Pelodiscus sinensis: one gene and its partner. The protein of the gene in region 1 interacts with the protein of each later gene in a pairwise test. Links are inferred from orthologs where the notes say so. Each region holds a gene or a part of one and is shown on either strand. Other genes may lie near its edges.

Region 1 (15,328 bases):
ACACCCTACTCCCTGGCCAGACTCCCACCTGTACCCTGCCTAAGCCCCACCAGCACCCTAACCCCTGGCCAGACTCCCATCTGCACCCTGCCCCCTGGCCAAACTCTCACCTGTCCCCTGCTCAGAGCCCCACCTACACCCTGCCCCCTGTCCCATCCCCCACCAGCACCCTGCCCACTGCCCAGGGCCCCACTTGCACCCTGCTCCTGCCCTCTGGCCAGACCCCATCCAGCACCCTGCCCAGACACCACCAGCACCCTGCTCCTGCGCCCTCCCTCCTGGCCAGACACCTACCCCCAGCTTGTTCCTATACCCTATTTTCCACCCAGATTTTACACCCCATCCTTATCCCACTCACTGGCACACTGGATCCCCTGTCCCGCACACTGGATCCCTCATTTTTGGCCCCACCTCAGAGTGTAGAGGGGCCCACAAATTCCACTTACCCTGGAACCCCAAAAGAGTTAATCTGGCCTCAGGCCTTGATCCTCAGTCCTACCTATCCTCCCACCATGGGGCTGGAGTGCCAGGGGAGGAAGGGGTCTCAGTTGGGATCACATCAGTGAGGCTTGGAGAGGCGTGGAGGGGTTGGGTTTTTTTGCATCTCACTTGTATGGCCCCTGACTGATTTTTCTGTGAGTCAGTGACCCCTGACCCAAAATAGGTTCCCAAACCCTCCCATAAAATAAAGACAATGCTGAAATGTTTGTGTTGGACATATTTTATTTAAAAATGAAGTCTGGCCAACAAGCTCCCAATTGGGGCCAAGCCCCCATCAAGCCGCAACATCAAAACACCCTTGCATCCTCGCACACACCCCAACCCTGAGCCTATCACATCCCCAGTCTTCTGCCACAACACTACTGCCCAATCCACACACTGCAAATCTGTGTCCTGTGCCCATCATACTCCCAACCCCGCTGCCCTGAGCCCCTCATACATCCCAACCTGAACTCCTGCACCCTCACATCCACAAGCCTGTGGGTTTGTTCAGCCCCCCAACCCTCCACTTGACCCTAACACTCTCCAGCATTGACGCCGGCAGAGCTAGTGCAGTGGGGGGGCAGTGGGGCACCCGTCACACCCTCCCACAGTACCTTAAAACCTTCTCCTGAAGGAAAAGTTATCCCATGGAAAGTTTGGTTGTGGTAGGCAGTGTCCAAGTTATTAGAGCACAAACATACAAACATTCTCCTTTATATATTAGATTTTAAATAATTTTTATAACATTTTTTTCTGTTTATTTTTAATTTTAAATTATTAATTGATTTTTTTGTTAAAAGGGGGGTTGGATGATGGTAAAGAAGAGGTGGGGAGGCGTGACGGTTTCTCAAAAATCAAAAGGGGGTGTGATGCCAAAAAATTTGGGAACCACTGCCCTACTGTATAAAATCTATACTCTGATGGAGCTCTGTTCTTACCTCTGTTAACAATAGATCAGGAGGCTTGGTTACACACCACAGCCACTACGCATCTTAGAGGAACCCAAAATACAGTACCAATCTTGGGAGGAATAGAAGCCAGGATAGGCATTAAATTCTGGCTCAAAGGCTAGGAAGTTAAGCAATCTAGGCCATAAGTGATCTGAGCTCCAGGAACCCTTTTCCAATTCATTAAACTCCTTGTTTAGTATAAGTTTGATAGTGCTTAATTCCTGGTATGTAACTCAAGGTATCAGTCACTTAATTCCTAGAATGTCGTTAAAGTGGTCCAGGCCTTAGAGAAGTTAAGCTAGATTCTTCTGAGACTATTTCTTGTATCCAATATTGCTCTTTTACAAGTCGCAATGCACGGTACAGTCAGGGAGGGACATAGTGGCGTCATAGCAACAGAAATAAAACAAGCCATCATGAATCAAGTAAGTCCACTTGAACGAGATCATCAGTTCTGGAGAATATTACACTTTGCCTATGATACATATATGAAAACTTTGCAGTATGTCAGTCTTACAGCTAGGGAAGGACTTCTGAGAATACTGAGTGATACCTTCGGGAATGTACGTGACTCATCTTATCATAGTTCCCCAGGGCATATCACTCTGGGGAGCATACTCCACAGAAGAACACCATTGTGTAGTGGGAGACTTGTACCAGTGGTATCCTCAGGCAGAATCCCTTTGTCATACAAACATCTGTATATGATCACATCTATTGCAAATGTCACTATAGCTTCATAGCTCATGCTACTAACCTCTCTGAAGTGCTTATAGCCAAACCTGGATGTGTGTGCATCAGGAGTTGGTACTACATCTGTACTATAAAACAGGTCTACATCAATGTCTAGTCTAAAGAAGTTAGTTTGTTGTGTTTAGGCTTTATTTTACATAGATGGGATAGTAAGTTTAGTTCCCAAGCATGGCATGCCCACAATATAACCTTAATTTATCAATTTTATAAGTATTTAGATCCAATTCATTTGGACATGAATTAAAGACTTCTCCGTCAGCTTTTGGTGCACATGGAGCTGGCGGCTAACTTAAACCAACTCCAAAAGCAAGGCTGAATGCTAGGGGCAACAATTCACCAATCACTAGCCACTATCATGAAAATACCCGCTAGACTACGGAAAACAGTTATGTTTTCATACTGATGCCAACAGTTGTTTTCCTTACCAGGGGAAACATCCAGCCTAAGGGAATGGGCTTTCCAACCATTAATCATTATGGCTCTTGTGGAAATAGGTATTGTTATTCTGATCATTATGCTCCTCATTTGTATTCACTGGTTTGATTTATCAGGTGAGCCACAATTTGAGAAAACGGTGGGATGTGAGCAAGTTTCACCATGCAATCCCAGGTGTAATGCCAACAAGAAATGGAAACTTAAATGCTGCCCCTCTCAAATTATGAAAATAACTCGTGAAGTTTGGGCTAAAGGGAATGTTTATGAAGGCAGCCATGTTGGATGGGTTGTGAGAGCAAAGGGTCTCCATGATGGAGAAGCTTCTTCTCTCTACCTGTAAGGGAAGGTGGGAAGACAGTGTAAAAAGAAAAGAAAAAAGAAAAAAGAAAAAAAAAAGGGGGGGCTGGCTGTTGTTTAGCAACCAGAGATTACAAACACAGTGTGGCGCAATAGGTAGGAGCTGGCATGCTCTCCTTGCACGCTCTTGGGAGTGGAGGAGGGACCAGGGTCATTAACTCGCTCTCCAATGTTGAGTCATACTCCAGTCAATTGGCCTACCTGACTATTTCTTTGACCACAATGGGAAGATATCAGGGAACCCTCAAGCTTGCTGTTTTGAGGAAAACATGCGTTCATTCACAAATCCTCCAAGTAGTTAGGACTAACTCACCTGCAGGATGACGCAAAGCGGAGAGGGTTGGGTATCAGTTAGGGCACGATACTTTCCTAATAACCCTGGTCAGTGCCTCCTCCTCGTGCGCCAATTCTGTCTCTGCAGCTTGAACCCTGACTTCCTGCCGACACCTGGAGAAAAGTAGGGGAAGCATCTTTCTTCGTCCTCTTTTATTTGTAAAAATGTCTGGTTTGTGTGCTGTAACAGCTGCTCTCCCAGGGTGTATCTAGACTACAGGGTTTTTTCGAAAAAACTGTACCTTCGTCTAGACTACTGCTGCGTTCTGTTGACAGTAAATCAAAGGAACGCGGTGGTTTTGTCAATGGCGGTAAACCTCATTCTACGAGGAATAACGCCTTTTTTCAAAAGTCATCTTTCGAAAAAAGGCACTATTGCATGAAAACAGGGCTTTTTCGAAAGAGAGCATCAAGACTCTCTTTTGAAAAAGCGAGCTGCTTTTTCAAAAAATCGTCTTGTTGTCTAGATGCTCTTTTTCAAAAGAGGCTTTTTCGAAAGATACTGTTTTGAAATAGGCATGTAGTCTAGATGTAACCCCACAGAGTTAATCCTCCCTGTCTCTTCCCTTCCTCCCCTCACTTAGGTCCCTTCCAGTCCTATGATTCTATGAAACCATGATGGACCTGACTGACCTTGGTTTAGCTTGTGAAAAGCAAGACAACCACAAAACCAGACTATGGAGCAAAAGAATCCAGCCACTCAAAAACAGCTGGATAGATATTAGAATGGCTTTGCAGATGTACAGTTCATGAATAGTAGAGACAACCAGTAGAAGAAATTGCACCTTTTTAACCAGAACTATGTTGATTTCTTCAGACTTATCTCATTTAAAAAAATAGAGAAAAAATGCACAAACATTTTTGAAATTGGAAAATTGTGAAAAAAATCAACATGCTGTTTCAAACATTTTCAGTTGAGATGCAAATGCTTTAAAGGTTTTTGTTTTACTTTTACTTCTACACTATCTCAAGTAACTAAGGAAGAAACTGAGGCAAGAAATTTGACCTGCAAAAAATACAATAACAAGGTAATTTTCTGCCACAATGAATATATGTGCAGAACAGGTAATCACCATCGGGATTGTGAACTATCCAACTTCCATGATCCATTTGGAGATCAGCTGGAAGAACTACTTGTTTAAGTAAGTCAGATCATAAAAAGAAATCAACCAGAGATGACAAAATATTTAACCAATGGGGGAAAAACATATTTATTCTAAAATATTTAGTATCTTGGGGTATGTCTACACTACAGCGCTAATTCGAACTAACTTAGTTCGAATTAGTTAATTCGAACTAAGCTAATTCGAACTAACGCATCCAGACTAAAAAACTAGTTCGAATTAGCGTTTTGCTAATTCAAACTAGCATGTCCACATTAAGTGGACCCTGAACCGGGGTTAAGGATGGCCGGAAGAAGTGCCGACAGGGCATCAGATGAGAACTTAGAGCGTGGAGCTGCTGCCTCAGGCTAGCCAAGGGCTGTACTTAAAGGGACCCGACCCCCACCCCCCGGACAGACAGTTCTCAGGGGTGCCCTGCTTGCAAAGCAGTCCTGTCTTGGAGTGCCCTGAGTGCCCACACTGGGCACATCACAGCACTCGGCCATCAGACCGGCTGCACTTGCCGCAGGCTGCCATCTGGGGAGAGCGGGCAATTGGGGGGCTGCAGGAGAGCTTCCACCCCCAGAAGCCCACAAAGCCAGCCCAGTCCTCCCCATCGGGGGCTCATACCCCATTTCTCCCTCACCTCCTTCCACTTACCCTTCCCTAGCCCCCCTTCCTGATGTACAAAATAAAGAAAATGTGTGTTCAAAAATAGAATCTCTCCTTATTGAACAAAACTGGGGGAGACTGGGAAAAGGAGGTGGGAGAGGGGAAGAGAGAGGGTGGGAGAGGGGAGGACAACTAAAATGATCAGAGGTTTGGAACAGGTCCCATATGAAGAGAGGCTAAAGAGACTGGGACTTTTCAGTTTAAAAAAGAGGAGACTGAGGGGGGATAGGATAGAGGTCTATAAAAGCATGAGTAGGGTGGAGAGGGTGCATCAAGAAAAGTTCTTCATTAGTTCCCATAATAGAAGGACTAGAGGACACCAAAGGAAAGGAATGGGTAGCAGGCTTCAAACTAGTAACAGAAAGTTGTTCTTCACAAAGCAAAGAGTCAACCTGTGGAACTCCTTGCTGCAGGAGGCTGTGAAGGCTACAACTAGAACAGAGTTAAAAGAGAAGTGAGATAAAGTGATGGAGGTTGGGTCCATGGAGTGGTATTAGCCAGGGGGTAGGAGTGGTGTCCCTGCCCAAAGTTTGTGGAAGGCTGGAGAGGGATGGCACGAGACAAATGGTTTGGTCACTGTCTTCGGTCCATCCCCTCCAGGGTCCCTAGGGTTGGCCGCTGTCGGCAGACAGGCTACTGGGCTAGATGGACCTTTGGTCTGACCCAGTACGGCCATTGTAAGCTCAGGGCTCAGGGTCGGGGGTCTCAGTGGACCACCTTGATTTTCATGCACACCTGCTCCTGGACGGCAAGGCTGGCAGCTCTCCTGCCCTAGACGGCCACTTTCCTGTGCCTAGTGCGGAGGTCGTGGACGAGGTCCATGATGTCCGCACTAGACCAGGCGGGTGCCCGCCTCTTGCGGTTCTGGGCAAGCTCCCGGGAGCCGCCAGCCTGGTCCCGGGAAGAGGGGGAGGACTGGGGGGCATCGGGTGGCTGGCTCGAGCCGTGCCTGGTGCAGGGTCTGCCAGCTGGGTGCTGGCAGGCTTGCACCTGGCACGGGCATCGTAGCCAGCCCATGCCCCTTTAAGGGGTCCAGGGCCGGGAGGGGGGCAATAGAGTTTCCCTGGTGTTGGCCAGAGTGGCCACCAGGGAAAGCTGGAGAGGGCTAGCCTCCCACTAGTTCAAATTAAGGGGCTACACACCCCTTAATTCGAACTAGTAAATTCAAACTAGGCTTAGTCCTCGTAGAATAAGGTTTACCTAGTTCGAACTAAGCGCTCCGCTAGTTCGAATTAAGTTCGAACTAGCGGAGCACTAGTGTAGCTCCTATCAAAGTTAATTCGAACTAACGTCTGTTAGTTCGAATTAACTTTGTAGTGTAGACATACCCTTAGAGATAATGGAACCATCAAATGTAGCTCTTTTATATTCTTCATGAAAGAATGCTACAACAGAAATAAGTGAATACAAATATAAGGGTGATCTTGGCCTATTGGCTTCAGTGGGACAGAATTTCACTCCAATCTTACAAAATGATCCCACTTTCACAAGAAGTTATCTCTATGAAATCTCTTGTAGTTTCTGTGATTACAATAAACACTAGCACTGGTGGTCATACACTATCATTGCCATTCTAAGGTGACTCTTCACTGGAGACTACTAGAAAAGGAAAACCACATTTAAGAGCCTGAAAACCCTATTATCCCTTACTTGTTCATTCTTATTCAAATGCAAAGACTGTGTTTTGTATCAAATGGCCAACACAGAGGACCACTTTCATCCCAGTCAGTCTTCAGCAGATATAAATTGACTGACTGCCTTTCATGCAGAGTTGGAATTGTTTATGCAAAACAAATTTGGTTGCAAGATTCTTGAATGCAGCTTGAGTTTGGTCGGGGTATTTTCACTATCAAGTGTGTGTTATATGGACCACCCAGCACCAGGTAGAAGGTGCCAGAGCTTCTGACTTGCTGGGAGCTGTTCAAAAATGCCTCCTGACAGCGTTCTTAGTGAAGGATTTAAGGCTTGCCTTCAATACCATGCTACATCTGCCAACATAGCACATTTAGAGAAATGCTCTGTTAATGAAAGAGCGCTCTCCCTTTCCACCAACTTCATACCACACAACAGATATACTAACTCAAGAACCAAACCCTGCAACAAAACCTGTTGCCAACTCCGTCCACACCATCATAGGACCTAACAACAACAGCTATACCAACAGGGGCTCATTCACCTGCATATCTACTAATGTGATATATGCCACCATGTGCCCACAATGCCCCTCTGCCACGTGCCTTGGCCAAACCGGACTGCCCGTATGCAAAAGCATAAATGCACACAAATCAGACATCAAAAACAACTACATTCAAAAACCCATAGGAGAGCACTTTAACCTTTCTCAACACTCAGTAATAGACTTGAAAGTTGCCATACTTGACCAAAATAACTTCAAAAACAGACTGCAGCATGAAAATTCAGAGCTGGAATTCATATGCAAACTTGACATTATTAGGCTGGGGCTAAAAAGAGAATGGTCAGGTGAGCTGACAGCCTCTGTGGGCCTCTGGGCAAGGTGAGAGGTGGGCCAGCTCTGCACTTCTGGAAGAGACGGGGCCTCAAGTGGAAGGGGCGGCGGTAGACGCAGTCAGCCCTGTATGTTTCCTGGAGCATGGAGTACCTCCTCGCAGAGCCATATGAAGAATGCTGCACAGTGTTCCGGCAGTGATTTAAAGAGCCCAGGTCTTCAGCTGCTGCCACAACTACCCTCTTTGTCCCCATCAGCAGGCCTGATTATGGGAGTGGTTAGTTCACTGCAAAAAGTAATTTTCCCTCTTTTGATATTCACACCTTCTCATCAACTGTTGGGAATGGGCTGCATCCACCCTCGCCAAACTGACCTCGTTAGCTGGTCCTCCGCATAGTAATGCTACACTCCCATCTTTGCATGTGTATATATATCCCTGCCACACATCTGATGGTGTGGGCTCCAGCCCATGAAAGCTTATGCCCAAATAAATTTGCTAGACTTTAAGGCACCCCTGAGTCCTCATTGTATTTTGCTGAAACAGACGAATACAGCTATCCCTCTGAAACGTGTCATCTTCCCTCAGTTATCATGACTTCCTAATTCTCACAGAAACAAATGGAGATGACTGGTAATTTGCTTGTCTTTTCTACTTAGATTATGAATGATTCAGGGCAGCGACAGTTGTTAGAGGGTGTGACAGGCTGTCACTGACCCGGGGGCGGGACGGCCGGAGCCCCCGCCGGCAGGGGGCTGGCAGCCAGGTACGGATCCCCCAGTACTTCCCCAACGCGAACCGGAGGGGGCGGTGGACTGGGGCACTACCCCCGCGCCTGTGCCGGCGACGTGAGCACGGCCCGTCCCCCGAGGCCCCGCACGGCGAGGGCGGGGCGGAGGGACACGGCTACCAGGCAGGGCCACACGCCGGGACGTGCCCGGAAGGGGCGGAGCCCTGGGTGGCGGCCGGCGCGGCGGGCCGATTTAAAAGGGCCCGCCGCCAACGGGGCAGGGGGCAAGCTCCTCGCAGCGGCGGAGGGGCGGCCCCTGCCACAGGACGGAGCCCAAGCGCCACGCCGCCCGGCTGTCGGCCCGGCGTTGGTCCCGAGGCCTCCGGGACAGCCACTGCCCCTGGCAATCGGTCAGCCCCTCTTCAGACGGCGGACGGACCCCGCCGTGCCGGACCAGGAGGGAACGGGACAGCCAGGGCCGAACCGGGACCAGAGAACCCGCCCCAGAGACCTCGCTCGGACACCGGACGCCACGGACCGCCGAACCAGGGTAGGTTCAGGGGCACCGGGCGTGATCCGCAGGAGGCACCCGGAGGGAGGAAGGAGCCCGGGGCAGGGCGCTTTTGGCGACCGTGGGTGGACGAGCTTAGGAGGGAGTGAATCCTCCCTTCCCCCATTCACCGCGCCGGGGCACTAGCAAGCCCCGGCGCCCAGGGCCCCGGGCTGGGACCCGGAAAAGGGGCGGGACCGGGTCCCCTTCCCTCCCCTGTAGGAACAACCCACTCCCAACGACCCTAGCAAGGAGAACTACGATGCGGACCCCGCAGAGAGGGGAAACCCCGACCAGGGGCCGGCGCCCCACTCCGCCTGGACGGGTAACTATCATAAGGTTCGCTGACCCCCCCTTTCCCCTGGGAGGGGGTGATCGCACCCAGGACAGGGGCCCCCTAGCAGGGACCCGGGACCCAACAAGGGATCAAGAAGGGGTCAGAGGGTTCGCAGACCCCCCCTCTCCCGCGGAGAGGGGGTGATCGCACCCCCGAACTCCTACAGAGGGCTTATCCCTTCACCCTTCTACTTCCCTGGTCCTTTTAATGTCAACAGAGAACAGCAATACCCAAGACTGGAGATGCAAAAACTTCCATGTTTACTGGGGTTAGCTTTCAGCAAGCATGATTTCAGTTTTCTTTCTTTTTCCCCTTGTTTTTCTCCTCTCTCATTTCCTGTTTGTTCCTAATATATTTAGCAATAATTTCAGGTCTACCTTAACCAATCATTCTACTGAAATTTAACTAACAAATCTTAACATATTGAAATGTGATTATCTAACCAATTATATCCCACCACCTTAGTTGGTTTACACCCAGCAAAATTAATTATTCAGGAGACACAAACAATCAAAGAACCAGTCAGAACCATACAAATAAACAATAGAGAAATGGGAAACATAATAATAAAGCAATACAAATTGCAAATTTTGCAACCCCAAATATTAATAAGTCCTCGCCAAATAGAAAGCTATCAACCCACTGGCTAAAAATGTGCCAAAACTGGTTTCCCAGCTTATGGATGCCTCGGTTTCTTAACCTAAACCAGTTTGAAAATAAGGTCTTAGGCCATCATATACAAATACTGTGATTTTAATTATTTGGTTTTATACCTCTGTAGGAAAACACCTAAATTCTTACAGTATAGGCCGTAAAAGGCAGGCCTGAATATCTATATCCTAACAATAGTCTCTTATGTTTGGATGATTTTAGCAAAGCCAATACAGAAAAAATAATTAACAATAATTCAGACTCTGTAGACATGCCCAGTGTTTGAAGAGGCAATGGAAAATCAGCTCTCTGACTTCTAGAGCAGTGGCTTTCAACCTTTATTTCAACCAAATAAAAGATTTGCAGACCCCCTAAACAATTTTAAATGTTGGTGCAGCCCCTACTGGAAATATTAGCTGTAGTCTGCAGATGCCCATGGGTTCATGGGCCACAGGCTGAAAACTATTGTCCTACTGCAGTGGTCTCCAATCTTTTTAAGCACAAGATCACGTTTTGAATTTTAAATGCAATATAAGATCTACCTCAAACCCAAATACCTTGCCTCACCTACTTCATGTCCCTTCTCTGAGGCCCTGTCCCTGCTCACTCCATCCTCCCTCCCTTCCCCATCTTCCCTCCCTTTCACCAGGCAGAGGCAGCAGGTTGCGGCACAAACTCTGGTCTTGGGCTAAGGGATCTGGAGTGTGAGGGGGCTCTGCGCTGAGTCTGGGGCAGGGAGTTGGGGTGCTGAAGGGAGTTTAGGGTGTAGTCTTTGGGAGGGAGTTTAGGTTCATGACTAGGGCAGGGGTTCAGAGCTGGCTCCAGCTGGACGCTGCTTACCTCAGGTGGCTCCTGGGTGGTGGTGCAGTGGGGCTAAGGCAGGCTTACCGCTGCCCAGCCCTTGCATCACTCCCAAAGGCAGCCAGTAAACTCCCTCCATCCTAAGCTCTGTTGTGCTCCCTAGCTCTGTTCTGTGGAGATAGGATACAGGATGGGAGAAGGGGCACCCTGACAACAGCACTCCTCCTGTCCCTTCCCTGCTCTGTGCCACAAGCAGGAGTCTTGGGGCGGAGGGAGCTTCAAGGCAAAGGGCAGGAGGTGCACAGCAGTGGGGAGAAGGGCAGCTGAAGTGCTAATCTTGATAATAGCCTCTTGGCCAAACTAGTGAAGATCACCTGTCAGAAGCTCCACGATCTACCAGTAGATCCCGATCTACTGGTTGGTGACCACTGTCCTATTGGATAGTACACTGCATAATCACTGGAGCAACAGCAGAACCTCTTCACATTTCTGACCTTTATTCCCAGTTATTCTCACTGAAATAGGAGGTCGCTGTGTATCTGCAGTGTCCGCCATGGAGCAACTTCGGATTTAAACTGGCTTCCGTGAAAGGAGAATCAGGCCACCAAAAATCTGTTGGATTTGTCTTTTCTAATCAAATTTCCATGCTACAGTTGGTGGAAATACAAATGTGACTTTGTGAAGACTGTGCAAAATTAAATCTCTCTTCTATCAAGGTGCACATTTTCTTTCCCTGTCTGAAACAATGTACAACCAAAGAAAAAACTAGATCTTTTGGAACAAATTATTTCTGTTTTCAATACACCAACCTGCAAAGAGTATTCAAGTTCCGGGGGGGGGGGGAAGCGGGGGGAGGAAAAAGCAGAGCTGAACATACATAATATGTTGTGGTGCTTAATACCTTATGCAATATAGCAGGCTTCAACCAGCATGGGACAGATTCTGCCATTATAGTTACTGTTCATTAAAATTAAATGGAATTGTTGACAATAATTATTTGTTACGGAAGTGTGTTGTAAAAGAGAACGTGGCAAATCATATATATAGTAGCCCAGTGTCTGCCCTCTGGGCAGCCCATGATGCATGGGAAGTGCGGGGCCCAAACGGCCACTTGCTCCCCCACGGTGGCCTGGCTGAGCGGCACAGAAGTCAGCCGAGTGCCACGGCGGGAGGCGAAGGGGGGCGGTACGGTGACATGTGGCGTGACAGTGGCTCCAGGCCCCGCCCCCTGGCTCTGAACATCACCACCCCGCCCCCCTTCGCCTCTTACCATGGCGCTCAGCTGACTTCTGTGCTGCTCAGCCAGGCTGCCGCATGGGAGCAAGTGGCGCAAGCAACCATTTGGGCTCCACGTTCCTCATGCAGCACAGGGAGTGTGGAGCCCAAACGGCCGTTTGGGCTCCACAGACCCCCGAGTAAGAGGCAGGAGGGGGAGAAGAAGAGAAAGAGAGAGACAGAGAGAGAAGCAGGAGGCAGAGGAGAGCTGAGAGAGTGAGAGAGAGAGAGAGAGAGAGAGAGTGGGAGGCAGTAGGAGGAGAGAGAGAGACTGGAGGCTCAGGAGAGAAGACCGATGTGGAGGAGAGACCTGAAAATCCCGTCTTATGATGGGCTAATTGGCAAGTATAAAAAGGATAGGATGTAAGCTCACATAAGCTCTCAGCCTGCATACAGATGTCATGGTAATGGCAACATAGGTTTGCCTAAAGAAGAAACAAACACAAATTGTTTGCCAAAATTCAAACTGAATCTTTTCAGTAAAAGTCTGAAAAGTTTGAAAGTTTTCCTTTGCCTGTCATCTTTGCTAGATCTGCACTTTCGAGTCCACCCCTCTTGCCACTAAAGTCAATGGGAACTCTATCACTAATATAAATGAAACCAGGAGCAGCTTGTGCCCAATTCCAGACAGGGCCAAAACTGGAGATGTTGAACCTCGAAGGTTGCTAGGTATCCAGTATTCAACCGGACAGTCCATTTTTTGCCCCCTCTGTCCAGTAAAAAAAATCCAGAAAATACCAGACATGTGCAATGTCCGGTATTTTCTGCTTTTCTGGCTGGGCACCTGACAGAAACTTGGCATGGGTGGGAGGAGTGGCCGGGGAGGCAGGGCCGTGATTGGCGCTGGGAGCCCTCAGCTCAGCTGGTTGCATGCAGAAGCCTGGTGAGGTGGGTGTGGTGGCTAGAGACGTGTGGCTGGAGACGTGGGGCTCCTAGCACCGATCGCGGCCCTGCCTCCCCAGCCACTCCCTCTGCCTCTGCCAGGCTTCCGCACGCAACCAGCTGAGGGCTCCCAGTGGGAATAGGGAATTAGCCCCGTCCTCTTTGGGAAGTGTAAATTACTTCACCCCTTTTCATCAGACAGTCTGCCCTCTGCTCAGAGCCCAGCCAGACATTCTGGCCCAGGAGTGGGGGTAGAGTACGGCTCCTTCCACTTTCTGGTCACAGATTTTCAGGCATATAATCCACTTCTTCTCATGGCCAGAATATGGGACAGGCTTGAATCCCCCTTTATTCCCCTCCACAGCTGAAAAAAGGCTCTGAGAGGCTAGCTCAGCCTGGCAATAGGATTGCCAGGTGGGAGCCTTCAGCTGGTTGCATGCTGGGAGGTTCAGGGAGTCAGAATATATGATGTAAACTGTTGAATGTTTATAATAAAGTCCCCATTCAGTGTTAAGCATAGTTGTGGTGGGTTTTGTTTGTTTGTTTGTTTGTTTGTTTGTTTGTTTTGCTCAACAAATTTTTAGCACGTTTGTTCGGTATTTATGTATTTATGGTTTTTGTTGGGGTATTTTTGCTTGACAAATTTTTAGCACGCGTGTTCAGTATTTCTGGGAATCCATCTGACAAACCCATGAACCTCTGCTTCTATTGAAGCAATGGCAAAACTCCAGTCAACTTCAGGAAATTGGCAGGAATTTCACTCTGTGAAATCAAAATGTTTTGTAACCAAAAGTTATTTCCTCTCTGTCATACATGTACACTGGTTTGGTGAAGTGTGGTCATAGCACAGGCATATACAGATTTTTTTGCCATCTGTGGACTGCTGGTACTGTGGTTTTATTAAAGGTTGTTTTGCATTAAAAACATTGAAAGGGAAAAAGTTGCTCAGATTATGGGCCAACCAGCTATAAATGTCCTATTTAATAATATTTAGTTATTACTGTAAGAGTGTAGATTAAAATAGTCAAAGTGGGACACCTCATTCTTAATTTAGGTATCTAAATAAAAGGTGCCCACTTTTCAGGAGGGGCCACAGGGCATGTAATGCTTCGAAGACACTTCAGCCAGAGAAAGGTTGTTTGACATCACTGGAAATCAGTCAGAGGCTAAATGTGGAGCTAGGTACCAACCTCTAGGCATGTAGTTTGAAAATATTTGCCATGATTTTCTTCTACCAATGCCAGCCACATATATGGCAGACAGGGTGGATTAATATAGTTCATATTTTAACCGCGCTGTTCTATGCCTAGTAATGTTACACATAACTAAAGAAAAACAATAGGTTTGCTAACATGGCTAAAATGCCAATGAACTATACTACTCAGCTGGCAGGTGTAGTGATTGCTGACATAAAAATGAAACCCACCACAATACAAGCTCCCTTGCGGGCACTTTTCACAAAGACATCAGAGCCTAAAGAGGCAACAGAGACTGCACTACCTTCTCCGCCCCAGAGTTCAGGTGAGGACTGAGGTACATTTTGGGGGCAGTATGACAGATCACAACATATCCTCTCTCTCCCTCTCTCATAGATATACTAGAAGATTTACCTGGCATTGCTCAGATCCTTAACTCAATTTTTGTTTTTTGGAAAATAAAATGAAAAAGTACATGCTTCATTGAAATCATTGCTGTGGGGTGGGCCTGGGGATGAGGGGTTCAGTATGCAGACTGCCCCAGGGAGAGAGGATTACCCCAGCCCTCTCTCACAGCAGCAGCTTGAGGACCGGTTGAGAGGTGCCTCTCCACAGTCACTGCAGCTCTCAAAGGAACAGTGGTGGGGAAGGGTGCATGTTCCCAGCTAAGTCCAGGTTCATCTGCCGTCTGCACTCCCCAGCCAGAGTGAGGAATGCAGCAAACTGCACTGTTCCCTCACTTGCTGCCCCCTGTGGTCATTCTGGAGTATAACGGTCTTGGCTATCACAGCCCTGCATTTCCGTTTGATGAGAAACAATCACATTCTATGCACATCCCATTTTCCTGACACAACCAAACTCTGACTTTGCTTTAAGTTATGATGAGAGGAAGCTGCACACCACTTGGTGGTCCTAGCTCTTACCATTTAGGAGTTCTTGAACAAACACTCACAGATGGAAGGACAGACAGACACACAAACTCCTTCAAATATATAGGAGATATATAAAAGTCTCAGAGGGGTAGCCATGTTAGTCTGTCACTTTAAAAAAACCTTAAAAAATAACAAATGGTCCTGTAGCATCTTAGAAACTAACCAAAAAATATAGATAGACCATGAGCTTTCATGGGCACAACCCACTTCTTCAGATGAAAAATATGGAGCAAGAGGTTCGGGGGTACAAATATAAAGTAGAAAAAGAGGGGAGAGGAGCAGAGGGAAAAAACCGTCAATTAAAGTGTCTGTGCTAAATGAGACTAATGGAGTGGGCTGTAAGTGCCCAATATTTAGCTTCTGATGTCATTTGGGTTTTGAATATACAGGTAGTCCCCGGGTTACATGGATCCGACTTACATC
Region 2 (15,013 bases), on another chromosome or scaffold:
TAATACAGTAAAACTCCAATAGTCTAACATCCAATAGTCCGGCACTCCTGATAGTCTGGCATCAAAATGGCAAGAGCCTAGTGAGTGAGCTTCGGCAAAAAATGAGTCACAAGGTAACAGCGGCAGCAGCTGAACTGAGCAAAAAGGGTAAAAAAGGCTTAAAAAAAACTAAAACATTACAGTATACTGTATACAGTATGTACAATAAAAAGGGTTAAGAACACTTTATATACAGTATATAATGTATACAGTATATATATAACCTGCTTATAGTACCTCCTGCTAGTCCGGGATATCTGATATTCCAGCACCACCTAAGTCCCATAGGTCCCGGGTTATCGGAAGTCTACTGTACTTATAGGGTACGTCTAGACTACATGCCTCTGTCGCCAGAGGCATGTAGATTAGGCTACCAGACATAGGAAAATGAAACGGCGATTTAAATAATCGCCGCTTCATTTAAATTTACATGGCTGCCGCGCTGAGCCGACAAACAGCTGATCAGCTGTTTGTCGGCTCAGCGCTGTAGTCTGGACGCGCGGGTGTCAACACCAAAGGTATTTGTCGACCACCCAGGTAAACCTCATCCCAGGAGGCTTACCTTGATGTCGACACCCGCGTGTCCAGACTATCGCGCTGAGCCGACAAACAGCTGATCAGCTGTTTGTGGGCTCAGCGCGGCAGCCATGTAAATTTAAATGAAGCGGCGATTATTTAAATCGCCGTTTCATTTTCCTATGTCTGGTAGCCTAATCTACATGCCTCTGGCGACAGAGGCATGTAGTCTAGACGTACCCATTTTGTGCTTTAGATTTTCAAAACATAGTCTAAGCATCAGCTAATTAATCCTCCCAGCCCCCATGTGAAATATGCCTGGATATATTATAGTCCAGTCTTACAGATGGGGTGGGGGGGGGGAGTTAAGTGCCTTTCCCAAGGTCACACACAGTCTCTGGCAAAGCCACAAATTGAACCTACCTCTCCTGAATCTCAGTCCAGAACTCTGCCACAAAACTGCTTCCTTTGCTGCCATTTTACCGATGGAGGGAAAAGGCACAGAGAAATTGAGCAACTTCCCCAAGGTCACAAAGCCAGTGGGAGTCAAAGGCAGGATTAGAAGCCACATCTCCAGACTGCCACTCCTGTGCCCAACCCCATCTACGACAGTACCCAGGAGCAAATTGCTCAGGTTCCTATTTTAACAGTGGCCACTGAGTTTGGGTTCCCAACTTGAGCTACCTTAGGCCAAATTGCAGAGTGGCTAAGCACTTGCAGCTCTCACTACTTTTTTTAGACACTCAGAGCTTCCAAAAGCCTGGGCCCATTTGCCTGAAGCTTTCCAGGATAGTGTATTTATGCCCAGCATTAAAATTCCATCTGCACAATTTCAAATGAATGGGGCCGGTATGAGTGGATTGAGGAGAGTTCAAGCGTGGAACAAGAGCGGAAGTAGCTTTAATTTCAACAATGGTAAGAGACGGGGTATGGTCTCTCCACAATGTCATGAAAAGGTATCACACCCCTCTTCTCAAACAAGAACTTATCAATACAAGTAAATGTCACCTGCTGCCACAGCAGCTGTTTTGGGCTGAACACTCATGCAGCAAGAGCGTCCAGAGATAATAGATAGCCATGGGGTTTTACATAGACTGGATAGAGAGATAGACACAAACCGAGAAGAAATCCTGAGGAGCAGAGAGCTGGCGGAGCATTATTACAAAGGAGTGAGTTCCATGACTGAGTGCCATCCACCTGAGCACAGCACCTGCATGGATATGCTGTTTCACACCCTGATGGAGCTGGAACATGAGAGCACATGAATGCATGTGTAGGCAAAACGTCAGGGTCTCTTGGGTTCATACTATTGCAATCGGCATGTGCAGCAGCACAGTTGAAGGAAAGCAGCTGGAATGGCCCATCACGCTGGAAGCCCATGCAGCAGAAGGCTATTTACAATTACTAGCCAGATCCTATTACTAAAAGATTGAAGGTGCTTTATAAATACAATTTAAAAGAACAGGGGGAATGCTTTTTCTCAGCTGTCGGAGAGATTTATTGCTCCATATTATTGAGTTTCCAAATCAGGACATGGTGAAGTGGCTTAAATCAGCTGAGATGGCATGCCCATTGGCTACCCCTTGAAAAATCCTTCCTTAACACGCTATGTCCTTGTAAGGTCCTAGGCTTGTCTTTACAATACCATTCACTCCAGTTAACTGAGATGCTCTTAGTTAGGACATCTGCCAGGCAACAGATTTGAGCTCGCTGATACTTAAGAGGGATAGTAATTCCATTTAATGAGAAACCTTCTGATGATTTAGCAGTGCTACCCAAAACCCTACTGTTTCCCACTTTCATGCTGGCCCAGTTGGTTTGCTTTTGAGCCCCCCAATAGCTGAGATTAAAAAAAAAAAAAAACCCACACCAAACACACGCGCACAGACCACGGTAAGAATTGCTGCTCGTCCCTGCGGCACCTTAAAAACCAACACATTTATTTGGGCATAAGCTTTAGTGGGCAAAAACCCTCTTCATCAGCACCACTTTTGCCCCCAACATCTTATGCCCAAATAAATTTTAGTCCTTAAGGTGCTACAGGACTCCTTGTTGGGTACAAACGAACACAGCAACCCCTCTGATGCTTGTCCCTGTTTTAGTTTGCCTCTTTAGTTTTCTGAGCATTGTGCAGCTGACTCCTGAAATATGCAGGCAATAGGGCTGGTCTCTGTTCAGATAGCACCTTCTCCTAACTATACATGCCCATTCTGTAATAGGATGGGTGCAGCAGCTCCTCAGCTGCATTAAAATTAAAACAGTTTCTCCTATTAATTGCATACAGTGTTCTCTGTTAGCTGTGTGCTTGGGTAGCCACCCAGGAAAGATTCACATGCCGCCCAGCTGATTAGCAAAGTGCCCACAACTAGCAGCATATGTTTCTACCAGGAGTGCACATTCTCACATGCCTTGGTGCACATAACAAATTTTATTCTGCACATGAATGGAAAAAATTAGAGGGAACACTGATTGGGTACCAATCTTTGTTGGGACATGATTAACTGATAATCCTAACAGTTACAGGCACACACACACCCCTTGCTGCCTCTGTATCAAGCTGGCTCATGTGTGTGCCAGCACCTGCAGAGCCATGTGCCCCACCACGCTGCTGCCTCTCTATCAAAACACTGGCTCTCACCTGTCCCCCCTGCATGTAAAAGTGTAGCCACTAAAAAAGTCAGCTGTTACACGTTCACAAAAATAAACAAGTTAACATTCCTGGCCTATTGTGGGAAGCAACCTCAGCTGGGGTGGTAAGATAAGTGCTTTGGTTATGGAAGGAACATGGAGAGCCATATGTCAGATTTCAGACACTTGTCTACAGTGAGAAGAACTGTATGTACTAACCACAAGGGGAGAGCATCAGTTCACTAGTCACAGCAAAGACTGTAACAGACAGGTGTACACAGCATGCAGCTTACGGGGGGAGGAGGAGGAATCATCTCACCTGCCTATATGGTTTCTCTGGGAGAAGATCATCACCCCCAGCAAGCCCACTCCCAAACTCACCTGTTTCCATCCCTCTCATTAACCTGTCTCTTAATCCACCCCCCTCTACCCAAGAGCCCTCTGCGAAAGGAGTGCAGAGGATACTAAATTCCAAGCTGTTAGCACGGTAGGAAGCCCTAGTGGCTATTTTCCTCTGTCCTCTTAATTAATTTCTGTCATTCAGCACAGCATTGTACTAGTTCAGCTTCCCCTAGCCCAAGATCAAAAAGTCCCCTGCTGAAGTAGTATGCCCTACTCCCTGGCATTTAATTAGGTCAGGAAGAAGCTGAAACAGAACACAACCCTCTTCCACTGAAATATACAGAATCACAATAACCTACAAAGGACACCTAAATTAAATTTAAATTTTAAATAAATGGAGATTGCCTATCTCCTAGAACTGGAAGGGACCTTGAAGGTCATTGAATCCAGTCCCCTGCCTTCACAGCAGGACCAAGTACCATCCCTGACAATTTTTGCCCCAAATCCCTAAATAGCCTCACAACGCCGGGTTTAGCAGGCCAATGCTCAAACTACTGAGCTGTCCCTCCCCCCATTAGGTAACTTTTGTCCGGCTATCATTTGTGACCAGTGCAGGACTGTTCCCTACATCATATTCTCCAGTGCTTTGCTCCATATATGCTACATTTAAAAACTACGGTTGGAAGTTTTTAAAGGAAGAATCTTATTGACTGAGACAGTTCTGGAAAATTTCAAAATAAATGCAAAAATGCCATAGACGATCCTCTAAGACTTTGGGGACTGGATGCAGCTCCCAGCTTGCCTGGATCCAGTCCCTAAGGCTCAGGGCTCCTCCCAGCATTGGGGAGCCCACACTAGTGAGATTGGGCTTTTCTTTTCACTTGTGTGCTGCAGCACTTTACTGATTTTTCTGTAGGTCAGTGGCCCCTGACCCAAAACAGATTCCACACCCTGCTCTACAATTTGATAGAGACGGTTCCAGAGAAAGGCATTATGGCACCTTCCCGAAGCCTCACTTTTCCTTCACTATTTATTTTTTTCAAATGTGAGAGTGGTTTGTCTCATGATTAGCAGGGGGACTGGGAACAAAAAAATTCTGGGTTCTGTTCCCAAACTCTGCCACAAACGGAATAATGTGGGCAAGTCAAATAATCTCTCTGTGCCTCAGCAAAGCCAGAGTAATAATTAATGGAGACTCTGAAGCTTAACTCATAAGGATGATAAAGTGTTTTCAGATCCATGTCTCAGAGTTCCTAGTCACATGTAACGTGTAGTTACTATTAAATTCCAAGGGACAGGGTTGGTCGGACGCAGTAAGTGTGAAAGAACCCCCCCTTACAGCCTAGGAAATGATTGAGGTGCGCCCAGGAGCCGGTCGCCCAGCACCCCACCTCACTCCTCGTTAGTTATTCTCCCCACCTAATGTCTCCCGCTGCCCTTCAGTCTCCTTAAATCCCAGGACAAACAAACCCACTTTCTTAACGCCCTTTACGGGCAGGAGGGGTCCCAGAGCTCCTTGCACCAGCTCCCAGGCGCGTGGCCTCGCCTTTCCTATATCCCAGGGATGCACCACGGCTCCCTCCCCTACACTCTGGGTCTCGGGGGCACCTCCCTACAGCGCGGGTATGAGGACGGGCTCCCGGCGTCTCTCCCTCTGTCCCAAGGAGCTGGGCGCGCTGTCCCAGGGCGTTTCCCAGGGTCCCCCCAGTCCCCTAGGCTCCCGGTGTGGCCTCCGCCCCCCGTGAAGGAGCCGGGGCGGAGTCCCCGAGCGGCCCCGGCGGTGGCCGGGTGGGGGCTGAGGCGAGCCCGGCGCGGCCAGGCCTGGTACTCACAGCAGGTCGGGCCGGTGCCGGTGCAGGATGGCGCAGAAGGCCAGGCCGTCGCGGAAGGAGCTGCTGAGGTCGCGGATCTCCACGCCGGGGTAGCCCTCGCACTGGCGGCGGCACCAGGCCTGCAGGGCGCCTCGGGGACCCGACATCGGGGCGGATCCGGGGCTCAGGCCGCCGCCGCCGGGGGGAGCCGCATGGGGAGGCGGGCCGGGCTCCGCGCTCTCCGGCCCGAGCCTGGGCGGGTTCCGGCAGCGGCCTGCGGGCTCCTGTCCCCGGCGCGCTGCCCCAGCGGGCAGGGGGCTCCGCCTGCAGGGCGGGGATCTCGGGGCTCCGCTGCGCTCCGTGCCCCGCCGCGGCTCGCTGCTCCCTCCTACCCCTGCGGGCGCCGGCTGCGCCTCCCTCCCCGCGCCGGGCTCTGCTCAGACCTGTCCCCGCCGCTCCTCCGCCCAGCCCGGCTCGGCTCTTCCCCAGCCCGAGCCGCGGCGGGGAGGGCCCCAGCCAGGCACGGGTCAGGGGCCCTGGAGCAGCGCATGGGCGCTCGGCGTGCCCGGGGGCAAGGAGGAGTGGCCCGCATTGCCACCCGCTGCCTCGTGTCCAGCTGGCCCAGGGCAGGTACCGTGACTGGGCCCGCCCGTAGTCTCGCAGCGCGCACGGCCAGGGAGGTAGGGTATGTGCCACGGGGGCTCCCTGCCTGGTATTAGCTAGCGCATGGAGATGCCACGGGGGGGGGGGGGGGGGGGTCAGCGCGTCTGACACTAGGAATAACGAGAGCCACAAGGTGGGCGAGGTAATAGCTTTTATTGGCCCCTCTTTTGTTGGTGAGAGAGGGACGCTTTGGACCTGTAGGGCGCTCTTGAGGGCTGGGAAAGCTAGTCCCAGCCACGTGGAACGACGTTAAATAGTGAGCACTAGTGAGAAACCATTCAGGGTAGGGTGTCCACTAACACCTCTCACAGGCCTAGGGGAAAAAAGGGGGGGCTAGTGCTTTCAAATTGTAATAAATCCTAAATACACTGTGTCTGTTCAGTCAGTCCACGGATTGGATAGTGTTTAGCAGAGTTATGAAGTTGCACTCTCACGGTCATAGTTTGAAAGGCTTCTGCAGGTTACGGATAAGGATATTTTATTTACATTGTGTATACAGCCCCAGATGGGGTGCAAGGTGCTTACCACACAGTAAAGTCACGGTCACAGGGCGTTTACAGTCTCACTTAAAACCACACATGAGGGCATCTGATAGCAGGGGAGATGTATGTCTAGTATGGGGAAACCCTGCAACCAAATCAGAGACCGGAGCAGGGTATGACTCAGACTGGGTGTGATAGGGCATGTGTTTTGTTGGTGCTGTTTTGGAGATCCCTCTCCCTTCCTCCTTACTAGTCCAGTGGAGAAAAATGGGCAATACCTTGCATCCAAAGTCAGTAGTCTGGCATGGATGGCCTAATTTGAGCTCCTTCCCTCAGGCAGCTGGAGAGAACAGCAGGATTGTGCGTAACAGGCACCCTGTCTAAACAATAGGGATATTGTGGTGCATTTGGAGCCGAAGGAGGGAGAGGAGAATGGGTAGCTTGGAAATCTAGGATATACAGTATGTCTCTCCTTTCCCCCACATCTACAGAGCCTGAGTCATTCTGCTGCCATAAGCAAACTACTAACTCTCCTGAACTCCCACAGTCTTACTGGACTGCAGCCAGCCAGCTATTAAACATTTTGCTGCCCTAGACAACTACCAGCCCTGCCTCCTCCATGCTTCGGGCCTGTTCTTCCAGTTCTCTAGGCATTTGCTACCTCAGAATGGAATGTCCTGATTGAGCATGGTTTGCTCTCAACCTAGTATTAATAAAGCATACCACTGCAAGCCACAATTCCTTTTGCAATCTATTGGCGCCTGCTCTGTGCACTTCCTCCACTGCTTTCTGGTGTGCTGAAAATATTTCATTGCCCATACCCTACAGGCAGGATGTGAACAAAGTACTTGGGGCAGAGTTTAATAGTAGGTTGGTTTTTTGTAGTACTTCTCCCCCAACATTTGAAAGCACTTCACAAAGGAGGGTGAGTATTGTAATTTGTTTTACAGATGGGGAAATGGAGGCTCAGAGAAATGATGTGACTTACCTACAGTCACAGTGCAGATCAACGGCAGAGCTGGCAATGCATCCTCAGGTCTCCTGAGTTCCAATAGGGTGTCTTGGATACTCATTGACTGACAATGGAAAATCTTACGACAGAATAGGTGTAATATTCCTACCTCTGCACACTGTATAGGATACCCCCTACCTTTGGTGGAGACAATTTATGGATCCTGCAATGAGGTTTCAGAACTTATTTGCAATCATGGACTGGGGTAGATGTTTTAGGTGCCTGGGGATTCTATCAAAGGAATGCCATGCAACCCTCAGACTCAGGCTGTGTCTACATTGGCATGATCTTGTGACAAAGTGGCCACTTTTGCACAAAAACATGCTTCCTGTCTACACTGGCGGGGAGTCCTTGCGCAAGAACACTGACGTTCTAATGTGTTAAATCAGTGCTTCTTGTGCAAGAACTATGACGCTCCCACTCAGGAATAAGCCCTCTTGCGCAACTGTTCTTGCGCAGGAGGCCAGTGTAGACAGGCAACATGAATTTCTTGTGCAAGAAAGCCTGATGGCTAAAATGGCCATCGGAGCTTTCTTGCATAAGAGAGCGTCTACACTGGCACGGATGCTCTTGCACAAAAGCACATCTCTTGCGCAAAGGCACATGCCAGTGTAGACGCTCTCTTGCACAAATACTTTAATGCAAGAACTCTTGCGTTAAAGAGTATTTGCGCAAGATCATACCAATGTAGACACAGCCTCAAAGCAATGCCAACAGATCCCAAACAAACTTTAAACATGGCTCCTGACCTTCAAAACATCAACGTGAGAGGACAGACAGTTTAAGTCTTTGGGGCTAGGAGGAGTATTTTGTTGCTTGGCCATCCTCTATACTGTCTTAACCCTTCAGTATAGCCCACACCAATCTCAGGAATGAGGAGCTATGAGCTTTTTGTCATTTTGTCTAATCCACAGCATTCAACGGCTATGTCTACACTGGCGTCTTCTTGCGCAAGAACATCTTGCGCAAGAGTTCTTGTGCAAGAAGTCTTGCACAAGAAAAGGTCCACACTGCCATGTGCAAGCTGTGCTTTTGCACAAGAGCACCCATGGCAGCGTGGACGTTCTCTTGCGTAAGAAAGGTCTGATGGCCATTTTAGCCATAGGGCTTTCTTGTGCAAGAAATCCCTGCTGAGTGTCCACACTGCCCTCTTGCACAAGAGCTCCTACGCAAGAGGGCTTACACCTGATAAAAAAAGAGCATAGCTCTTGCGCAAGAAGCTCTCTCATACCACGCCGTACTGTAAATTTCCTTGCGCAAGAGCAGGCAGGCAGTTTGGACGCTCTGCGGGTTCTTGCGCAAGAACGGCCATACTTGCACAAGAAGCTGCGAGTGTAGACATAGCCAAGTAGTACGAGATGGGAATAAACATAAGAACAGCCATACTGGATCAGGTCAATGGTCCATCTACCTAGTATCCTGACTTTCCACCAGTGCTAGGTACTTCAGAGGGAATGAACAGAACAGGCAATTATCACATGATCCCTCCCCTGTAGTCCACACCCAGTTTCTGGCATGGCAAACAGAGACTAGGGATACTCAGAGCATAGGGCTGCATATTGGACCACATCATCTCCATCACCCCCACACAGCCCAGCAAGGTAGTTAACTGAAGTAAACTCTCCAAAGCCTTTTATGTTACCAAATAGTGAAGCTTCCTTTGCTTTTCTGGTGATGCTATTCCACAGTGTAATAGACCACACTGTTAGTAAGTGATTCCTGATGTTCTGTCCTGGCTCTAGTACAGCCTTCATCACTGTGGTATATGAACATCTTCCAGTAGTGCATTAAGCAACATGACTAATAGCTTGTAAATATGGCTCTTCCTGTCTCTTGTCCGCAACTCAAGAGGAAATGGTGTGAAGATATTTTAAATGCATACATACACTGTATTATATATTTAGATTGGTAAACGTCAGATCAAAAAAAGAGGACTCCACACTTGGAGCGGAAGGTGGTGAAGTTTGAGACACCTCTTGCTGCAGGCAGTTATTACTGCTGAGAAGCAGAGCAATTGCCTGCAGTCCTTGTTCCTGAGCTCTATGGAGTCTGCCCAGTTCTTTTTGGCAAATAATAAATTAGCCAAAAATGAACATAAAAACAACCATGCTGGGTCAGGCCAAAGGTCCATCTAGCCCAGTGTTTCTCGACTTTTTTTTTTTTTTTAAATAAAGTACCACTTTAAAAAAAATTATAAGTACCCCCAGGACCTTTTACACTTTTCAGACACATTTTTTTCTACCATTGCAACACATTTGTTTAAACAACTTAATCATAGCCGGGTGGGCGATTTTTGGGTGTAAAAAATACAAAAATAATAAAGTGCTGTAAAACTTAAAACAAAAATTCCATTTTCTCCAAATTTCAGTGGTGTTGATGTACCTCCCCAGTCTTCTTTCGAGTACCCCTAAGGGTATTCGTACCACTGGTTGAGAAACACTGATCTATCCCAGTATTCCGTCTGTGATCCTGTGCTGATGGCCTATTGATTTTTGGCCAGTACTGCCACCGTGGGCTAGAGTCAAATGAGGCTGAAGGTAGGGATTATAACAAAGCCATCTCCCCCTTCGCTTCCAGAACAGCATTAGTGACATTCCAACAGTTTGACTCTGCTGCTGAATGCCCTGCATTTCTCCAGTTTCAGACAGTGCCAGGCACCATGTCTGGCTGAGTCCATCTTTCCACGTTATGCTAGGACTGCAGTTCCTTTGGCTTGTTTCCACAAAGCCAGCCCCCATCATTTAACCTTTTGCAGCCTCCTCTCTGAGGGCACAGAACCAGTCACACTGGTTGCAAGTGAGTAACAGATACATTATGTGCATCATGAGCAAATCTTTTGACAGATGCAAGCTGAGGAAGTGGCATATTTGACTATCTGAAAACAATGCATATGACTAATTATTTAAGGTTTAAGAGCACATGTACAATTAGAGTGTCTATAATCCTAACATACCAGTGACAGATTAGGAGTAGGCAGGGTGCCACTGGCAGTTCTTGCTTTACAGAAAACGGGTATTGCATTTGTTTGCTACTCTAAACAGAGGTACTGCCGTGGTGGATGTCTCTCTGCAGAAGAGATGGTGAAACAAATATGCTGCTGTCCACTGAAGTTGGCTGCTGGCCCAAGGGAAATTGAGATTCCCACTACACTTTTTGGAAAAATAAGAGTAGCTCAGTAACTCCACAGTTCTACCTCAGCCCATTTTGAGAAAGATGTTAGTGTTGGATGCTCTGCACAAATGGTCACAGAAGGGGCACTGTGCACTGCCATAATTACTTACTCTGCTACTAGTGGCAGATGTTCCATGGTCCAGCAATGCCAGCCTCATGTACCTGCATCTGGCTCTTTCCCCACAGCCAGCAGATGCATTCGTACACCCTCCCTATACTGGGGCATGAGGGCTATACCATCTCCTCTTTGAATCCCTCAAGACCCACTTGTAGTGTGATATCTACAAGAAAATGCCAACTAATAGCAGCTAGGAGGAAGATCAGTACAAATGATTGATGCCCTCTCCCCTTCCACTCTTGCCAGGTTGCCTGTTTTCTCAGAGTCTGACCTCTTTGGGGGGTAGGAAATATATTTTATGTTTGGACAGTGCCTTGTATTAGACACACCCATCGGTCAAATAAGGGGAAAAAATGAAATCTAATTCTTGCAGAACACTAAACAGAAAATAGTATGTTAAATAACCAACAGCTGATTGCAAAGACCCTCTTAGACAGGAATGGATACTAACAATTGTTCATATGGCACATGCTTTCTCTTCACCCAAAGGTCCTTCCCTTGCACCTGTTGCTTCATTCAAACTATTTAAAGATTGTCTGCAAGCAGAAAAAAATAGGGCTGGCTCTTTTTTGCTTCATTAGCCTATTCAAGTAATGCCCAAGATTTTTTTTTTTTTTTTTAAAAGCAGAACTATCAGATATGCAAATCTTGGCTAGCCTTGGAGAGGAGCTGGTGACTGGAGAACTAGAGAAATTAGCACAGGTCAAAACATAGATTTACTTTAAATTTCCTTCTCTATCAATTGGTATTGGCAAAACATTTCCCCAGCCCCCAGTGAATGTGTGGGAAAGAGGATCTCATATACCATGCTGTCTGCAAGACCACCAGCTGAGTCTCCAGAAAACCCAAATCCAATCAGAACAGACTTAACATTCCTGAGGTAAAAACAAACAGAATCCACTTCCTTTAAAAAAAAAAAAAAAAAAAAAAACACCACACAACACACACACACCACCCTCTTAGTAAGTCATCAGGCCCTTTTACCTCAAACCAGCAAAAAAAAACAGTCATTGGCTGTTTAAATTGCAGATAGGAGCATAGGCGAGAGAATGGATGATCAATTAGATATATAAACTCCTCCAGCCCCAGGCCACATGACTAGTAGCCCCTGCCTATGGTACCCATACTGAAACAAACTTGGGGACACATTAGCCACACCCCCTGCCATGCAGTCCCACCCTTAGGGTACGTCTAGACTACATACCTCTGTCGCCAGAGGCATGTAGATTAGGCTACCAGACATAGTAAAATGAAGCGGTGATTTAAATAATCGCCGCTTCATTTAAGTTTACATGGCTGCCGCGCTGAGCAGACAAACAGCTGATCAGCTGTTTGTCAGCTCAGCGCGGCAGCCACGTAAATGTAAATGAAGCGGCGATTATTTAAATCGCATCTTCAATTTCCTATGTCTGGTAGCCTAATCTACATGCCTCTGGCGACAGAGGCATGTAGTCTAGACGTACCCTTAAGAGTACTCCCAGGGTCAAGATGGACACAAACTGAAGTAAAGGGTGTCATGGGACTCATCTAAGAACTCCAACCAATAGGGATGGGTTTGGCTCCCACAGAACCCCCCCCCCCCGTAAGCTACTATTCTGCAATTGTATTAACCCAACTTGCATTGCATTAACTCAGGAGGAGAGGCTGGGGGAAGTGTCCCCTCAAGATTTTCCTCTCATGAGGAGTGAATTTTGTCTTGTGCACCAGTATTGAGTTCATGTGCGCTTGTTCAGATGTATACCACTGTGGCACCTGAGTTAATAAATATCTTATAAACCTCTCCCTTTTCACTCTGATGCCATGTCTCCTACCCTTCCCTCACCCCATCTGCCCCCCTGGTGCCTGCTGCCCCCCCTACTCTCATCCTCCTCTGCTGTCCTGACTCCTGCCCATCTCACTCCCCTCAGCCCTTTGGGGACCTTTCTTCCCCCTGTATCCACTCTTCCTCTAGCCCCACTCTGATCATCTGTAGCTCTCTCTCCCCATCCCCTCTCCTAACACCTCCCTCTACCCACCTGCCCTGCCTCTCTCCTGTCGCCAGTCCCACCCCTCCATGTGTCTACCCTTCTGCTTCACCCCCACATTACCCCTGGCACATGCACCTTCCCTTACCCCTACACTTCCTGGTGCTTCAAACCAGCACCTGCCCTCACTGCCCTTGCCCTCCTTCTCCCTGGTGCCCACCCTCTGCCCCAGTTCCCCTCACGCCTCTCTGTGCCCTAACACATGACTTGCTCCATCCCATCTTCCTCACGCCCACCCCTCCTTTCAACCCCTCATCTCCTGGCATCCACTGCTCCCCTCTCCCAGCAGCACCCTGTCCCCTACCTTCTTCCACCCCCACTGACACCTTCCCTCCTCTCCTACCTTTCCTCATTGTCTCTTCTGACACCCTGGCATTTGTCTCTCCTCTACCCTGGCCCTTGATACCTTCCCCTTTCTTCTCCTGCCCTGCCCCCACTCCTTTCAGCCCAAGACCCTTTCTCTCTAATGCCTACTTCCAACTTTAGTTCTCCCCCTGCCCCTTCCCTCACATTTTACCTTCGACATGGAAAGCAGTTTGTGGGGGCCAGTGGCGGGGCAATGGTACTATTTTTAGTATATTAGCCTGGCCCCAACGGCTCCCAGAAAGGGACTGTGTGTTGGGACTCGAACAGAGGCCACCCGTGATTCTATTTTTAGTTCCACGGTCCAGGTCCCCATGGGCTGCCCAGCTCCAGCAGGAGTCATGTGACAGCCACACAAGGCCCCTTCTGGTAAGGCTTCCCCGGCTGGAACGCCCCCCTATTTGCTGCTTGATTCCAGCTGGAGCGGGGGCCGCCTGCAGTACTAAAAATAGCACCGCATGCAGCCGCCTGCTGCAGTTCTGGCACCTGCCAAGCCCGAGCACACCCCGCCCTGCAGCACTCCAGCCGGGCTCTGCACGGCTACAAGGCACAGAGGCCCAGGAGTGGCTCCACCCAGCCCCACAGCAGTGGCAGCAGCAGCCACTGTACTAACAAGTGGCCCAGAGGAGGAGGAGGAGGTGGTGCCGCCAGACCAGGACCCTGCGTGGCATAGGCGGTCCCTTCAGGGAAGGGGGCTGGGGAGGGAGAGAGGGGTCGCATGCTACCGGAAGCCTGCCTGGCTGCCCACCAGCAAAGATCCAATGGAGCTGCCTACGTGCCCTCCTGGGGCAGTGGTGAAGGGAGGAAGCTGCTGAGATCCATCACTTCTTCCCACAAGCCGATGTCCCCATCAAGTAGTGAAATGTCAGGCAGGGCTTTCCAGGACACTTCACTACTTGATGGGGACACTGGGACAGAATATTTAAATTCAGGACTGTCCCGGAAAAATCAGGATGTCTGATCAGCGTACCCCTGTCTATCTACTAATCCTACAGTATTCTGGATTCTTGGTGTTCATAGGAGTTTTAGAAAGCAGGGAAGTGGCCTGTCCCCTACCCTTGTTGCCTAGAGGGAAGGCTGTGAGAAAGGGAACACATTGATAGCAGCCCAAGAATTCAGCCATCCCTCTTCCTAAAGAGCAGTTTGTCTCTGGTACTGAAAACACAGGGGAAGAACTCAATTGTTTATTAGTTAATCTCAGTCCTTTGTGGTATTGTGAGCTGAGCAGCTTGCCTAGAGGACACTTCAGCACTACAAGAGAGTCCAAAAATGCCAGAATTCTTAATCTCCCACCCTGCAGCAAATACAATAATTTTCCCTCCTCATTGCCGGTCGGCCTGGTGACAGTGAGTAGACATTTCAGGGTCTCTGGCCCATCTTCTTCAGAGTTCGATTCAGCTGAAAGAAAAGAAACAGCCTGTTCCAGAGAGGGGAGTTGGGGGGAGGGGGGAACACACCTTTCCAAGCACTCCCACATCCAAATGCGCAAATGCCCTGAGCCAGCAGTAAGTGTTTGTTAACAGTAAGGAGGGGAAATAGTAAAAACCTCCCCATGCTGTAACGGGGGAGAGCCAGGATGAGAAGGTATAAAGGACGGGGCAAGGAATGGGGTGACCTGCTTCTATTACAGTTGACATTCTCTCTGCAATGAGCACTTGGATATGACTGGTCCTGCAGTGGCCCCTGCTGGTAGAATGGGGCAGAAACTGCATGTTCTGGTCCTTGCTATAAAGCTGCTCCAGCAGCAGGCTCCAGGCCTTCAGAAGGGCCCTTCCTGCCCTACAGAGGATGGGGAACATAATGGATTCCCACTGGCATTCCTAATGGAAATCTGTTAGCTGTCT

What was found.
Region 2: the proteins of EHD3 (region 1) and MICALL1 interact in binary tests that used the Homo sapiens proteins (3 or more experiments, as listed by UniProt). The link is inferred for Pelodiscus sinensis from reciprocal best matches to the Homo sapiens genes EHD3 and MICALL1.

What each region holds. Positions count from the first base shown.
Region 1 is NC_134713.1:158,565,929-158,581,256, reverse strand, and holds the start of EHD3 (EH domain-containing protein 3), read left to right. Parts: upstream 1-8,577; 5' UTR 8,578-8,831; intron 8,832-15,328. UniProt on the Homo sapiens protein: ATP- and membrane-binding protein that controls membrane reorganization/tubulation upon ATP hydrolysis. In vitro causes tubulation of endocytic membranes. Binding to phosphatidic acid induces its membrane tubulation activity.
Region 2 is NC_134711.1:92,178,413-92,193,425, forward strand, and holds the start of MICALL1 (MICAL-like protein 1), read right to left. Parts: upstream 6,002-15,013; 5' UTR 5,504-6,001; coding exon 5,358-5,503; intron 1-5,357. Other genes in the region: EIF3L (eukaryotic translation initiation factor 3 subunit L), read right to left, coding at 14,529-14,567. UniProt on the Homo sapiens protein: Lipid-binding protein with higher affinity for phosphatidic acid, a lipid enriched in recycling endosome membranes. On endosome membranes, acts as a downstream effector of Rab proteins recruiting cytosolic proteins to regulate membrane tubulation.